Linked DNA regions of Drosophila melanogaster. The protein of the gene in region 3 interacts with the protein of the main gene of each other region in a pairwise test. Each region holds a gene or a part of one and is shown on either strand. Other genes may lie near its edges.

Evidence for each region. Proteins that work in one complex are often made in the same cells at the same time.
Region 1: the proteins of ringer (region 3) and Acp26Aa interact in a two-hybrid assay, tested with the Drosophila melanogaster proteins (one large-scale study listed by BioGRID).
Region 2: the proteins of ringer (region 3) and BomBc3 interact in a two-hybrid assay, tested with the Drosophila melanogaster proteins (one large-scale study listed by BioGRID).

Annotation. Positions count from the first base shown.
Region 1 is NT_033779.5:5,891,989-5,896,055, forward strand, and holds Acp26Aa (accessory gland protein 26Aa), read right to left. Parts: upstream 1,909-4,067; 5' UTR 1,884-1,908; coding exon 1,850-1,883; intron 1,794-1,849; coding exon 1,033-1,793; 3' UTR 895-1,032; downstream 1-894. Other genes in the region: Acp26Ab (accessory gland protein 26Ab), read right to left, coding at 516-757, 819-849. UniProt on the Drosophila melanogaster protein: Male seminal protein which enhances ovulation in female Drosophila by stimulating the release of oocytes by the ovary following mating.
Region 2 is NT_033777.3:22,085,042-22,089,395, reverse strand, and holds BomBc3 (bomanin bicipital 3), read right to left. Parts: upstream 2,214-4,354; 5' UTR 2,194-2,213; coding exon 2,136-2,193; intron 2,079-2,135; coding exon 2,037-2,078; intron 1,968-2,036; coding exon 1,771-1,967; 3' UTR 895-1,770; downstream 1-894. Other genes in the region: BomT3 (bomanin tailed 3), read left to right, coding at 3,073-3,163, 3,531-3,793.
Region 3 is NT_037436.4:16,353,831-16,361,553, forward strand, and holds ringer (ringmaker), read right to left. Parts: upstream 5,599-7,723; 5' UTR 5,469-5,598; intron 2,619-5,468; exon of another isoform or gene 2,475-2,618; intron 2,362-2,474; exon of another isoform or gene 2,261-2,361; intron 2,207-2,260; 5' UTR 2,200-2,206; coding exon 1,804-2,199; intron 1,538-1,803; coding exon 1,355-1,537; 3' UTR 916-1,354; downstream 1-915. Other genes in the region: Pdh (photoreceptor dehydrogenase), read right to left, coding at 1-251, 308-451.

The sequences.
Region 1 (4,067 bases), on a different chromosome or scaffold from region 3:
TTAGGGCAGACGAACAAATCACCACGGGGACCACAGGTAGCTAAAAGCAGGTAAATGTCGGCCAAAAACCAAAAGAACCTGACCAAATGTATAAACTATGTTAAAGAGGCGCCACAGTATCGCATATTACTGATCCCATATTTGTGAAAGTTGAGCTAGACGAATCTTTATGACCCACAGGTCGAGTTTATGTCTAAAATGTATTTTATATTTATGTCCTTTCGTCTGCATTTATATGTATAACATTTTATATGTATAACTACAAATACCATATACCCCACTCTATATTTCAAATACAATTTTATCACAGCTTTGGAAAATATCGGAACTCTTATTTCAAAAGCTTCTTAGAGTCCATGTCCATTATAATATGGTAAATACTTTATTTGGGTTATTATATCTTTTAAATGATATATTACATATTGCATAGATACATAATATTTTGCTTGAAGTAACTGCGGTTAAAAAGCATATGCAATAATCGCTGTTTAAGATATTTGCTGGTGAATCCAAAATTATGCCATGTTCAGTTGCTGGCGCACACTCTCTATTTCATCAGGACTCATGACATCCGAGTTGAAGTCTGCTTTGTGAGTTTGTATCAAATGCCCAGTCGCATCGTTCACACTATCCTGAACACTGTAGTCGTATAGGGTTCTCAACATGCCATTCATCACTTTCTGGGATCTTGATTGTGAACTAGACTGAACGCTTATAAAGGGGGCAGCATCGCTAAATTGCCAAAGGCAAATGCAGGCTAAGTGATGAAAACTAAATTAGGCAAACTCTAAGAACCTCGAAGATCCTTACGAACTTACAGAAAATGCAGATCACCGCGAAGTAGTTCATTGTGGAAACGTATTCTCTAGACTGTAAAGAATCCAACCAGCACTTGGCCTAAGCGTTATGAATCGCATTTATTACGGCTAACAAGATCAGAAAAATAAGTAAGTGCGCAATTAGAAGGTCTTGCAATGACTCAATACTATTGTTTCTGTTCTTAAATGATGGGAAACCATATGATTTTAACTATTAAAGTGTTGGTAGATTCCCTTGGGAAGGATTTGTCTCCGTGGGTACATCGGTAGCGACTTTCGCGATTTCGTTATTGATCTTCTGACTAAGTTCTTTCAGAAGTGTTAGATATTTGTTACGGTAAGTGTTCCTGACGTTGGCTTCCTGAAACTGATTGGCGGCAGGTGGGGCGCTATCCTTACTAGAACGTTTCTTACACGGCTTTGTGGACTTTCGAGTGTTTTGCAGTTGCCCATTCAATTCCAAAAGTCTGCGGTTCACAGTATTTAGCTCGAGCTCTAAATCGAGGTTTAACTGTCGTACTTTGATAATATCCGTTTTTCTGGCCTCTATTTCTTTCATCAAGTATATGGAATGGTTCCGGAGAAGTAAACTATTGTTCTGCTCCGTTAGTAACCTCTGTTGCAGGGCCTTGAGCGCACTTTGATTGGATCCTTGATTTTTTTCTTTTGCCGGGAAATCATCTAGTCCTTTATTGAAAGGAATATTATTCAAGTCAATGGAAGAGCTTTTTAGTGATTTGGACCTATTGATTGGATAATCATCCAGCGGCAAATCAGAAATATCGATATCCATTATATAATCGCCCTTTTTCGCATCTTTCAGAGCTACATCATCTTTGGCTATTTTGGCCTGTGTCTCATCATTCTTGGGAGCAACATTTTTCAGAGATGCACTTTTCGTAGAATCACTTTTCAGGTGCATAGCTGAATCGAGTTGTTGCTCACTATCGCAGCTTGCCACTGTAAAAAGCAGCACTAAACGAAAAGATACTCGTTCTTAAATGTGCTCAAAAATGCATAAGTCAACTTACGTAAAATTGGAGAGCATAATAAAATCTGGTTCATTTCGAAGAAGTGGCTTCAGCTGAAGTAAGGTATTATTGCATTCCTTATATATACGAATTTCATGTTACATAAGCGCTTTTGCAACGGCTCTTGTTTCGTTCTGCTTGATATTTATAAATATGATCTTGTAGTATTGCAATTTTCAAAAAAAAAAAAAACATCATCAAAATATATAAATATTCGTTGAATATACATTTTAGTCCTGTAGTATTCTAGATATTAAGATATATACATTTTTCTGGCCTCCGGACGGATATCTTCGGTTTTTTTTATAAGATTCTTCTTGGCATCGGGTGCTTTAGTCGAGGCTAACAATTTTAAGACTTACGCAGTTCAAACAAATATACAAAGAAAAATGCCATAGTCGAGTATTTATTGAAATAATATATGTAAATATCAAATTCTTAGACAATCAATTTAACATGGTTTTCAACAATATAAAAGCGAGAAAAGTGTTGGTTTCTTTGAATTGCTGGTCGATTAAGGAAAATACCGTGTTAATTATACAAAATATGTTTTTACTATACCTTAAAATAGTTGCTATGTAGTTATAGATGCTGTACATAATTAATTACATAAAATCCGGCAATGTATATCTGAGATCATTGAAGTCACGATATATGTGTTACCGATGCAAACGCAATTCCCAAGCCAAATTAAAGAAAAATAAAAAAAAAGCAGATCATAAAAACGAACCATTGTCTTTAGCTAAAAGTGAAACTGCAATTGAAAAAACTTTCAGCATCCGCAGAGCGGCTAGAATGAGAAAAAATTATACTAAAATTTCGCCCACATGTCCACATATGTAAATTGAAAGGTTGCGCCTGCGCACGCGTCAAATTGAAAGCGAAATTGAACGTGGGATTCAGAAAACTGAGGCATGGCCATCTCGTGGGCGATCGGTCACTCTGTGAATCGTTTTGGATCCCCCATTTTGGGTAGGTGGCCACTGTTAATTGTTTAAAACATAGCGATTTATGCGCAAGTTGCTCGCATTTTGCGTGGTGTCTACGGAACGCTGCTTAAATGGCCGCTGCTTTCCACAAATGGTCAAAAGTCTTTATGCCTTGTAAATGCCTTGTAATCTTGGTCAAGAATGGTGTTATACGGACAGCAAACTGGAATTTACCTTAGAAGGAGAACGGAACCCAACATATTTTAGATAACTGCGCATTTAAAATTCAATTAAGTGGAAAAATTCATCAGCTAATCTTGATGAGAAATAAACTATTTAAAACTTAACCATACTATAATTTATATTCAAAAAGTAAATAGAACAAAGAAAATTTAACTAGTATGGCTTGAAATCTCAAATGCACATCTTACTATATGAAGTTATGATTATGTTTATTAACGTCGTTAGATGATTTTCATAGTAACTTTAAGATAGCCTTCTTTATTCCCAGTCACACCATTCGCATACAAATCTTATGTCTTATTTCTCATTTTGATTGCCGTATTATAATGACAGTGGCTCTGTGCATGCGACTCCCATTTGAAGCTCGCTTTCCACTGAAGTTTTCGGTTTCAATTTCCCATGGCAGCGCATCCCACTCGCAGCAGGCACACATATGTATTCATCACTACGATTTTCATCGCTTTTCAGCCCGAGTTCGAGCTGAGCTCACGCTTTCATTTGCGTTCGGAAAATGACCTACTTCCGGATTAGCATGCCCGGGCCACTTTTACTGTCGCTCGATCTGGAAAAGGGCGATGGATGGAGGGAATGGGATAGGGAATGGGAGCCATGGCATCGATGGGCACCGACCAGGGGCAGAAGCTAATGAGGTTGTCGCCGTTGTATCCACTTGATAATAAACATCCGCCGCGTTCCGCAGTGAGTAAGTGAGTGTTGCATGTTTGTTGCATTTAATTGTAATTTATTTTCCATCCCACAGAATGGACACGGCAAAGAACGGAAGCAAATATTTTCCGGTGGAAGCTGGCACAGCCAGCAGTTCCTGTACCATACCTTTTTGACCCTTTCCAGATATCAGTGATGCATTAATTGACTTTTCCTAGTGATCAACCATATCCTACCGTACTTAACTGACAGATTTTATTAGCTAAGTATATCAGACATGGAGAAGTTCACAGCTTCTGGTCTGATGCCCGAACAACATTTTCATCTTAAGTTAAAGCAGCCAAGGAATCTGCCCACTTGGGCAGATGACATCGAATGTA
Region 2 (4,354 bases), on a different chromosome or scaffold from region 3:
AAGCTATGTAAATTTGCTATGCGGCCGGGATTTTCAAATAAAGCTCAACCAGTGGCAGATATAAGAGTTTCCAAGCACGTGACAATATTACCAAAGGCGCTGCCCCCAGGGCAAACAACATTGGTGTACAAATAAATCAATTCTGCCTTCTGGCAAAACACTGCGGGGGCGAAACAGAAAAAAGTTAAAATTTATTTGAAAAGCGTGAAGGAGATGGCCACTGCTGCCACAAGTCCGATCGGCTCACCTTTCACCTGCCCCAGAAATTCCCCTCTAATGCCGCACAAATTAGGCACAAGAGAACAGAAATTGACCTGAAATCAAATACAAGTCAACATAAATTCAATTTCGAACATTCCCCAGCTCAAGGTCCTTAAGTTGCTAGGCAGATAAACCACCCTGTTCTGGACTAGGACTGAGTTCCTCAGCTTCATGGGGCTTCTAAAGTTGCGTGTAAACAATTTGTGACCCAAAAAGATAGGAAACGACACATTTCTGCCAATAAAGTGTATTAAAAGTAAATCAGAGAAAGTGTATCGAAACCCTTTACGATTGGTATGGTTATGCCACCCAAATGTTCATTGAATTTTAAGCCAGTCGAGCGTTTTTCTGAATTTAGCACATCCGCAAGGGCAGTCCATTGATTTCAATGCATTGTATTTTTTTTTAATTGCAAATAAAGCTTAGGTTTTTATTCTTGGATGTCCGGGAATCAATACTATTCTCTTAAGTTATACGCTTAAATCAAAATTGTATGATTGTTAAGTAATCCTTTTACAATTTTAATTGTTTTCGCATGCTAAGCCTGAATGAAACTTTTCCCTTCTTATTCTGTATATAAAAACACAGCATCAGTTTTATTCGAAACTTCTGCACAAAATATTCTTGGGAAGTGTGTGTGTGTGTGTGTGTGTGTGTATGCACTAAGTGTTTACTGTTTGTCGAGTAGTTAGTTTCAAAGCAAATATTTGAGAGGCTTCTGTTTGCCGTTCCTGCAGTAGCATTACGTATACGCCACGTGGCACGCGCAACCTTAAGCACCCTTACATCAGGCCAGCGTTTTCATTGACAACACATCCACTGGCGTAAATTGCACGGTTGGTTACTCGCATTTGATTATCGATGCTGTGCAATACTCTGGAGACAGCGACGTCAGCTCCCAGCCCAGTTTATGTGGCAACTAGCTGAAGTTCAAACAATCGATGCCATTGGCAGCACGAATTTCTCTATTTTTCCGTCACAAAATCCGTGGGTCTTCCCTTATTTGCAGACTGTTTTGAAACCAAGGCTTTTGAAAATGTAACGCTTTTGTATCACTTATTTTTGAGAAGGATGAGAGAAGCCAATGTTCACAAACAGACAGCTCGCAGTGCACGCAATGAGGTACTGGAAATCGTTAAAAAAAATTCTTATTTTAAATGTGAAAAATTTGATTTTCAGGACTGAATATTTCGACCAAAAGCAATTATAACATTCTTCACGCTTTTTTCGCAGCATAAAATAACTCGGATGTTTCATGTTTCTCCACGTGTACTTCGTGGTAACAAAAACTGAATATAAAACGCTCATTTTTCCATTTTTTGCCTCCATCAGATGATGCCCTCTGCACTCGAAACCATCACATTCATCGAATTTGCAGAGAGACTGGGTTGAACGATTGTCAATGCTTTTAGCTAAATGATGTTGTACATAGCCAAGTGTAAGTATGAAATGGATTGATCGATATGTGCGCAATTTTAATTCAATATTCAGACTTTATTGTTTAAGCCTTTAATAGGGATCCACGTTGCAGTGCTGACATCTGCCATTGACGATGGTATTACCACCCCTCCGGTAAATGGTGCCACCTCCACCGCCACTACCGTCATTTCCACGGGAAATGACCACATTACCATCGCCAGGGGATGAGGAGAAGCTGCGGTACTGCTGGCCATCCAGGTAGACGGGTTCACCATTCGGATTGGGACCTTTTCGAGTGCATATTATTATTCATTAAGTTGTCCAATTGCCTAGCTGGCAAAACAATCGCAACTTACAAGTCAGACAGACGCCATTCACCACCACTGTGCTGGGATGAGCTGGAAATAATTTCAGTGTGTATCAATTAGCGTCAGCAGCAATCCCGTCCAGCTTACCGCCGATCAGAGTCGGAATTAAAGCCAACGGGAGCAGCACACACGTCAGGTACTTCATATTAAAGCCGATAGATAGATGACCGTATCGACTCTCACGCTACTTATATAGTCCGGCACTTGATTCGATCCGAATCAAAATCGATTTGCATAAGCCTAAGCGTTTGGAGCTTTCGATTTGTATTTGAACAATATATTTAAATTAATTTCACACTAGAACACTATCAAATCGCAATTCGATGGGGTTTTCCGCACACGGTTTTGTGGCATCAGGTCGACGTAGTTGATTTCCTTGAACTTCTTCAAAGAAACTTATGACAGTCACGCCCCGAAAAGTCGGTTTACAATTATTCCCAGACGTAAACATGAATGGCAAGCGATTCCAGAGAATCGCACACCATTAAATTTTATCCATACATCTAAGGAAAACTGGTTACAGAACCGAAAGTCGTGACTCGTGAGTGAAATGTAGAAGCTTTAGTTCTAAAGCTAACAATTTATATTTAAATAATAAGATACTTAATACAATGAAAAAGCAAAAAATATATTTGAAAACAAATACATTTCATTAAAAATAAATCTTTGCAACTTTGTAGAAATGAAAAGTGTCTGACTTATTATAGATTTTACAGATTTTGTGTATTTGTTATGTTAAAAAGGTAACGTAGAGTATCTTGAATGCAATACGACTGACCAACTGATGCGCTACAGATTGTTTTTGAAACCCATCCGCGGGCAATTCCCTGAGATTAATACTTAATACATACGTAGTGGTTTGTTTGCACAGCAATAGTTCTTTGCAGCGATAAGGTCTGTTTGGGTTTGAATTCGAATTCAAATTCAGTATCGGAATCGGAATCGATGAGTGCATCGTATATAAGCTGCTGTTGCGGTTCGTACCTGGTCCAGACCAGTTCGACGTTCTAATAGACCAGCCACAATGAGAACCTTGACGGCATTTGCGATTATCGCTTTTTTTGCACTGGCTCTAACGGAGGCGGCTGTTTACATCGGTGGCGGTTGCTACGACTGTAAGTCAATGCCTATTAATTTGGGCCATTTATTCAAAAATTGTTCAACGATTTTCGTCGCTGCCACATCAGGCATAGTTTAAAAGGAAATTTTGTGTTTTCATTAGCGAAAGTTTGAATGAACAATCAATTTGTTATTATATTATGGTATTTCTTGGCAACGAAAGTCATTAAGTGATTATTAACGATACTCTAAACATTTGTTATTGGTTAAGTTTATGAATAATATAATTCCGAACACTTAGCTTTAAGCTTTTAATTTCTATAGCGCATAGTACATTTGCTGGCTTGCGTAAAAAATGCAGTAGCTAGCGCGCAATTAAGTAACTACTACTCCTCAAGAAACTGATTTAAATATCACTATTAGGTAATCCACCCGGAGGCCAAGGACCTGGAGTCTACACAGGTGGCAACGGAGGACGAGGAGGAGGAGGTGGATACAACGCAGGCGGAGGCGGTGGAGGATACTACAACGGCGGCGGAGGTGGAGGAGGTGGCCGTCGTCCAGTATATTCGGGCAACTTTGGACCCGGCTATGGTAACGGCGGAGGAGGAGGTGGAGGAGGCTACGGAGGCGGCGGTGGAGGTGGCTACGATGATGGCGGTCTTACGCAGATTATAAGCGGCTGAGATTATAATCTCGAAGCTTTGCTAGCGCTAAGCGCGAAGAGCAAGCATCGTCTGAAACTTAGATTATATAGACTTAAATAAAAAAAATATATATTTTATCAGCGGTGACTACTTTTATATACTTACAGAATGAGCTTTTGTTAGGTTTTGTTAAAGGTTAAAAACAAGTCCCTCTGTTAAAGTAAAACTAGTGAATAAACTTATCAAATACTCAGCTAACGCTACTAATAAATGGCATGCCACCTATAGCTTCTAAAAATAATATCCTTAATTCCTGTGCATTTTATAATTGGTATTCATTGTAATTCAGTTCAGACACGTATAAATGAGTAGCAACTGTTCAAGAGTGATGATTAATATACCCTTAAAGCCATAAAACCGACTGTGCTGTTCGGTTGAAGGAGTCAAAGTCCTGCAAAGGAAATAATTCATAAGCTCTTCAAAGTTTCAGCCATCCTGCTTGTCAGTCTTAATTAAAGGACTTGCCCTGGCTAAATATGCAAGGGCATCGAATTTCCAAAAAGTTGAACCAAAAGAACCGCTCGGTGAATCCACAAGCAC
Region 3 (7,723 bases):
AGTGTGGAATTGATGATTCCACCGAGATTTACCAACAGAGTCCTCTGCACATCCTTGTCGTTAAAAATCCCGGCTACATTGACCACAATATCGATGTTACCGAAGGTCTTGGCTATCTCCTCATAGGTGGCTTCCACACCCTTCTTGTTCGCCACATCCATCTTGATGATCATTACGCTTTGGGTGGGATGAGCGGCCCTAAGTTTTACAAACTCCTCCAGATTATCCTGCAAATCAATGATGGCCACCTTCTAGGAAGCACTCGCTTTAGAAATTACTTCACGTAATTATGTGTAAAACAACCAACCGCTGCTCCAGCGGCCAGGAGCTGCTTGGACACCTGCAGTCCAATGCCTCCAGCTCCACCGGTCACCACTGCATTCTTGCCGCGAAAGGACATCTTGGTCTGGCTGATTCGTGTAGTAGTCGGTGGTATTCCTTGTGGCTTCATCAAGCACTGAGCTCCTCAGTTGCACTGCTGACTTGGAGCTGTAATGTTCGCCGCTTTTATACCTATTTCCCAAGGGCTATATGATATATCGTTGAGTGACTTTGGTTCGACTGCAATCAATAGCTAGTTTTCCACCTGCTCTGGGTTAGGATTATGCAACTTATGCCCATATATCAATTTCCATCCCCATCTGGTCGCTGTAGCGTTCAGTCTGCTTCACACCGCTCCGGTTTTTCGATGTCAGCTTTGCATCAGTGATAATGTCATTGTGTAGATAAAGCAATGATCTCTTAATAACTATCTTCCAGTGAAATCTTTGCTTTTAAGAAGGTACACATGTTGGGCATTTTTCAAAGATCTTACAATTAAATGTATATTTCGATTTACAAAACCATCTTAATTGCTTTAAAATTTTGGTTTTTTAAATTGTATTTCCTCCCAATACAAATTTTAGCAATGCAAATATTTTAAAGTGTATTTATTCAAGCAAAATTCTTGTGAAAACATAACATATATCTACATATGTATGTCGTATATCTTTGGTTTCCATATGTGATATTTAAATTTCTTTCACAAATTGTAATATTAAAAGTTTATCTGTTATCTTAAGACTACCAAACATGGGTTTGATTGCCATGAAATGTATATAAATTTGATTTGGATTTACTTTTGAACTCTTTTTGGGCCGCTTCAAAATTTTACGTATCAAAGGACAAAGAAGGATAAACAAAGTAAAGGAACTCAAAAATTATAATCAAAAATATAAGTTTATTTGTAAGCACTTAAATTATCACAAACTTATTATATACACAAAGATAAATTAGATTGGGAGACATTAACTAGGGAAACACAAAAGTTAGAAATACAGATTTATGAGAGGGTGAAAAACGGTGGTTACCCCATCTAGTGGGCATTGTCGTAGGTGTCCTTGTGCTGGTAGCCACTCACATATCCGGATCCATCGACCACGTTCCGTCTGCCCGCGATACCCTTGCCCTTTCCGGAGGCATCGAAACGCTCCTTGTGGGAACCGGTGTACTTGCTCGTATCCGTCAATCGATCCACGGCAGCTGCGGCTTTTCCAGCCTAAAAATGGTAACAAAATGTTGATTAGGTTTTCAATAAAGGCATAAAGTATATGGTTATGACTTTCAAAGGTTTAAAAAGATATTTTTTAAGAACTTCTGTAAGAAAACTACTTTAACAATTGATAGTTTAAATGAGTCAAAAAAAAATCATTTAAATTTTGTCATATCTAAATGGTCTTCTCGAAGTTCTTTACACTTTAAAATCAATCTTAATCATTTGACTTATATAGATCATATTTTTCACAACCAATTTATCAAACCCACCGAAACGGACACAACTCCTGGAGCTCCACAACTGGCCAACTTTTGCTTGATCTCCGACAGCTCCACCTTTTTCGTCTTGGCCAGATCGTCCAGGAATTTGTTGTAGTCGCTGAGCGAGATCTTCATGGCCTTGAACTTCTTGAAGTGGATGCCTGTATCCGTGGTGGTGATCTTCTTGTCGATAACTTTGGCCTGTTTCATCCACTTGTCACTCTGCGACAGCGTTATCAGCTTGCCATCGGACTTGGAGTCCCCGAACTTGGAGAAGGCCTTGAACTGATCCGAAAAGCTAACCTTGGGCTCATCCTCCAGCGCCAATTGGGCCAACTCGGTAGCGGGCACCTCAGGAGTTGGCGCTGGGGAGGGGCTTCCATTTGCTGCAGCTACCTCGGACATGGTGGATCTGAAAAATATATTTAATATTATATATATTTTTTTAACCTTTACTGAACCCTACAGGTGTTTTAATAGATGCCCAGTAATAAATAAACAACTACGGACAAAGAACCTTCAATTTTACAGATGGACTGAGGATCATTTATTATTAATAATATGCCTAGCCTGATAGGTCATTGTTTTGTTTAACATTTTGTAGTGGTTTCTTCCAACACGCAACTTTTCCGCTCCTGCGTAATCGGTTGACTACGGTTGTCACCTACGCAGTTCCTCACCTGTGGGCCACAACGCTCACCAACATTGCGGTGGGTCTTGTCCGTCACTGTCAACTATCTACATATGTAGGTGCTATTCCCAGACGTATCTTTGCGAACACCTTATCAGTACTTTACTCACTTCGCTTTCGCAATGATATCACAACCCATGCTGAACTGGACAAAGGCAAAGCTATACCCACCCAAAGCTAGGCCAAAGCTCTCTCAGCTAGATTTCGAGAGATGGAAATCTAAAGGCAAATTGGGAGAGACTCAATCATTAGATGGCGTCATCGGTTTGGGTCCCCCATCTCCCAACGCAGCTAATTATCGCCTTTTGGCAAACCCAAATACACAAAACAAATAGTCAACAGGTTTGGCTCACATGGGTTACTCTATGGGGGTCAGAACTTAGCGCTAGCTTGCTAGATCTTTTATGATTAGTCTCTAGCATGCAGTTATCATGGGTTTTAATAATCCTAAGGCGATATTAGGTATTTACGGTACAGCTATACAGTTATAGATATACCCTAAAATTATTAAAATGAATCACTTTTACGCTTATTAAAATAACAAAAAGAGCAATAAATATTTTACGCATCGCCAGAAATTCCTCGCTTAATTTGTTACCCACCGAACGTGGCATAAATTTGGATGATAATTTAGTTTTAAAATTGCTTGTAGCATAAATTGTCCTCTTGTTTACAGGCTACCCAACACGAAGTCGAATCCTCAGACCCATCCCCATCATTCCATAAACAGTAAATAAAACGTGAGCATTTATTGGCGGAGCCATTAATTACGCACCACTTAAGGTTGCAAGTTGGAGCCCCAGGAGAGATGGAAGCCGTTTGGGCAAGCATTTAATGCGGCGATAAGATGCGACTGCAACCAGTTTGGAGTCCTCTATCCGTGAGATATGATGCCACGGCTTGTGCCCGCACAGATGCGAATCGAAATCGAAGTGGACGGGCGGGGTAGAATCACCATGACCTTGATGCAGCCCGTCGAGCATGTCAAATACTATTTTACCACCCCCTAGCCCCATTCGCAATCCAAATCGAAAAATGAGTGCTTATGTCATCGCCTCATTACGCCGGCTCTTGATTACGCTGTTCTGGGATCAGCTTTGAATAGCTCTGGGGTGAGGCAATTTAATAGCCCATATTCCCCAGATAATCCATCGAAATGATCTATGTAAACTGAGTGGTTAATTGGGAACATTGCATGCATAGCAAGTCTGCCGGTCATTAATCATCTTATTGGTCTCAAGACCAGGGCCATTGAACTTGAACTCCGCTCAAGACGATACAAATTATCCGGTCCCAGTTCCCGGACAAGACTAATGGAACCCTTTACTCCGCCCCTACATGTAATTGGAAGCCATAAATACTCGGAAACAAGAAAAGTTGACAAACTACACCACAAAAGAAGTTGGAATATGCAAGAAGAGTTTTAAGATGGCAAAAAACAAGAGGCTATCGACTAGGAAATTACCTGTAAAATCAAAACTAATAAGAAATATCTTTAGGTTATCTATGGTGGCTTTCAAAATGCTTTTTTTCACAATAGAATTCATTTTGTAATATTAGTAAAATCAATCTTTTTTAACTACCATCAGCCAATGCAAATAGTTCGGATTGTTAGATCCAATTTTCTACACTAAGATTGACGTTATTAGTTTGATTTTTAATAGAAGCCCGATTGCTAATAATTTTCTGAAAGGTTTTACAAAAATCTAAATATTATAATTATTCGAGGGAAATACTAACAGTTTAAGATGATCGTAATCAATTTAAAAAGCGGAAGTATTAAATCATCGCAATCGACAATGGAAAGACTCATCCTATGATACCCTGATCAGACTTGGATACTATATTCACACAAAATAAATTATTTTCTTAATATTCTTTGGCAACTCAAAGTGCAGATACCCCTCGTGAAATGAATGGCAGAAAATCAGGCAGTCTGATGGGGAGCGTGGATAGTCTAAATCAGAAATAATCCGCTTGCTTGTCAGACCATAAATAATTCGATTCTTCTCATTTCCCATCTCTGTTTTGGATTCTTTCTCTGTATTTTCGATTTGGAGAACAAGTTCTCATCCAGCTCCAGTCGAGCATTGCGAATTCGTTGCCAACATTTTAATTAGTTTTCTACCAAAATGGTAAAAGTTAATTGGGCAATATATATGACATATGACCACAATTTGAATAGGAATATGAATGAATATTATAGATAGCCATTTTCGAAAAGAATGGACTTCCTGGAGAGGGGAACGCAATTATAAACCCAACCTACCTCAAGTGGACCGCTGGAAAGCGAATGGAGGAAGCGAAATTTGGGTCATCTCGATGTATATTTATAAAACAAACGACTTTGGGGGGAGAAACATGAAATACTGCACCACATATGAGTTTACGTGTGTTAATAAACACACAGAAATATTAGCACCTCGGACTGAATGCATAAATTAAAGAGAACTTTTATTTTGGGGGGAACAAAACAGGAAGTCATGGGCATTCTGATAGAGCACGCAACGCAATAGAGAAATCATTGACTTAGGAGGGGGACTTATGCTCGGGACATAATATGTGTATGAAATGTGTAGCTACATCACCACTAGCCCAGATGACATCACTGGGAGCTGGGAAACGCGCAAGCGCCAGTTTGGAGAAGGGGTTTCCTGGGGGGTCTCGGTACTGGAATTTCAGACTGATGATTCAAATGCACGCATATATACACACGGAAGCGGGGAAAATGCGCCTAAATCAGGACCTCCCAAAGGAAATCGAAAACAATGGTGCTCCCCAGGAACAAAAGAAAAGGGGAACGCGATGCGCGGTAAGTGGGTCAAAATCTGCTCTTGAAAATATGAACCTGCTACTCATAAAATGAATAAAAAAAATATCCTTGGCTCGGAGTCTGCTTATAGATGCAGGATACAGTAACATTTTAAAAAAAAAAATAAATCCAACGAACTAGATTATTTTTCTCGAAACGTTTCCAACTTACATTTGTTATTAAAAAAGTTCCAAAAATTCTTGAATATATTTCCAAAAAAATATTTGTTTTATTCCTCGGCTATTTTCCAATCACTTTAAGGCAAACGCGCGAATGCTGGCGATGTCGAAACTCAACTGTTTGGACAAATGCGCAGCCAGTGGCTAGCGAAGGCCCAAGCGGCGTATGAGTGATATTTTTGTTTTGAGTGAGCTTTCGCTGAGTGAAATAGAAACTCAAAAAGGAAAATCCTCCTTAGCATTTTATCCAAAGAAAAGATGGCAAATCGTTGGTGAGCTAACATAAATTCCAAAACTTTCTGAATGAGATAAGGAAAACGATTTGGATCTTATAGACACTTTTACTGACCCCCCAATTTTTTTTCAAGCGATGACTTCATTTCGCAAAATTTTATACACGAAAACTAACAACGAAAGCCACACGACGAAGCCATTTATCAGAAAGAAAAAGAAACAAACGAGACCTAAAAACAACTCAGAATAACAAAAGTGACGCTACACACCAGAATCTTATCAAACCAACAAGTTACACTCAAAATTTTGGTTTGTTGTGAGTGAAATTCTAGGGAATAAAGCTTAAAGCTTTTCCTGATTTTATATTGTCTAAAGAGAAGGGGAGGGGTTCGCCACACAGTCTGAGCTACTAAAACAGTGAGTTTGTAGTCAGTAAATTTGTTTAAGCGCAAAAAAACAAAAAACGATGCGTGAAATTGTTGGGCAAAAAACACACACAACAAGTGCCAGACAATTCGAATAATGAAGGGTGTATCTTTTGGGCTTACTTAGACGTGTTTTTGGGGTGTGACTTGGGCTATACTAACCAGTGAGCTCATGCTTAGCTATGCAAATGAGTACTTATTTCAAGCGGTTAAGATTTGTCGACCGCCTTACTAGGTAAATGGGTTCTTTGAACTTTTCTATTTTGGACATTCAGGAAAAAGTAAAAGTCAAATAGGAAATCATAAGGAAATTACTTCGCACTCCATAAAATGATTAAACACATACTGAAACAACAAGCCCGTCCTAAACCCAAAACAAACCCTAAACGAACGAAAAAAAAACCTTTGACATTGATTTATGAGAACTGACGGTCGGAAGAATTTGGTAAGTTTTTGTGGCCAACTCGATGAAGTCATAGCCCTGGCCCAAAACCAAAATACAAAGCAACTGAAAGACTAACTTGGAAAACGAAATACCCTGAGGAGACTTCTAATTAATTTCGTAAATTAAGCATTAGGTATTACAAACAGAGGTCCATTGATTATTATTATTTAATATACAATGTTTGATATGTAATTTAAATATTTCATTCTACAATATTCATTTAGTTTATTGACCAGATGACGTTTAGAATATTCTTTAATTAAAATTAGAAAGAGTTAAATTTCCTATATTTATGGAATGTTTTACAGCTGAAATACCTTTTAGACTGATTCGTTTGCTCTTTTTTTCTAGGACATAAAATCAAAGTACTCCCAGTCCTGAAAAATGAAAAACATGATTCTTGCCACCTGGCCTATCTTAAGTGCACCTTTAATTAGCCACGAAGGCAGTTCAAAGAACCAATGGTGGTACACAAATCAGGGCACAGTCCACTCGAGACAGAACAAAGGGAGTGAACCAAGTGGACCGGACTATATTGCCAATCCAACTTCAATTCCAGGCCAGAACTAACCAGCTCATTAAGCCAGGCTGGAATGGTTGTAGAGAATTGGGCTTTGATTGAAACTGAGTGCCAACGGGGCTAACATTAAAACGCACTTATCAGCCGAGCCGTCAAGGCCAATCCAATGTGGTTCTTGCAGTTGCTCCTCCTCCTCCTCCTAATCGGGAGCGAAGTTTAAGCACCAGAGATCTGAGGCATCCGATAAGCCCGCTGCTAAAAATAAAAATGACCAGCGAAGGAGGAACAGGAGATACCAATGCAGCTGCAGTGCATCAGAGGCGGATGGGAAACATATTCTTAGGGGGTTTTCTTAGTGTCCGGTTGAAATAAGTATATATCTTCAGTGTATACTATAAGGTGTCTAAAAATTCACATTATATTATTTATTTAGCGGACTTAACGATTTAATTAACCCTTTTCTGTGTCATATTTGTAAGCTCTTCGCATAAAACATATATTTCTTATGTACATACATATGTATCTAACCAAGTATTATAATTTTTAAGGGTACTTATGACCCCCCTAAGACCCCCATTTTGTTCGCCACTGGAGTGCATGACTCCCGTGTCCAAGCTGTGGCC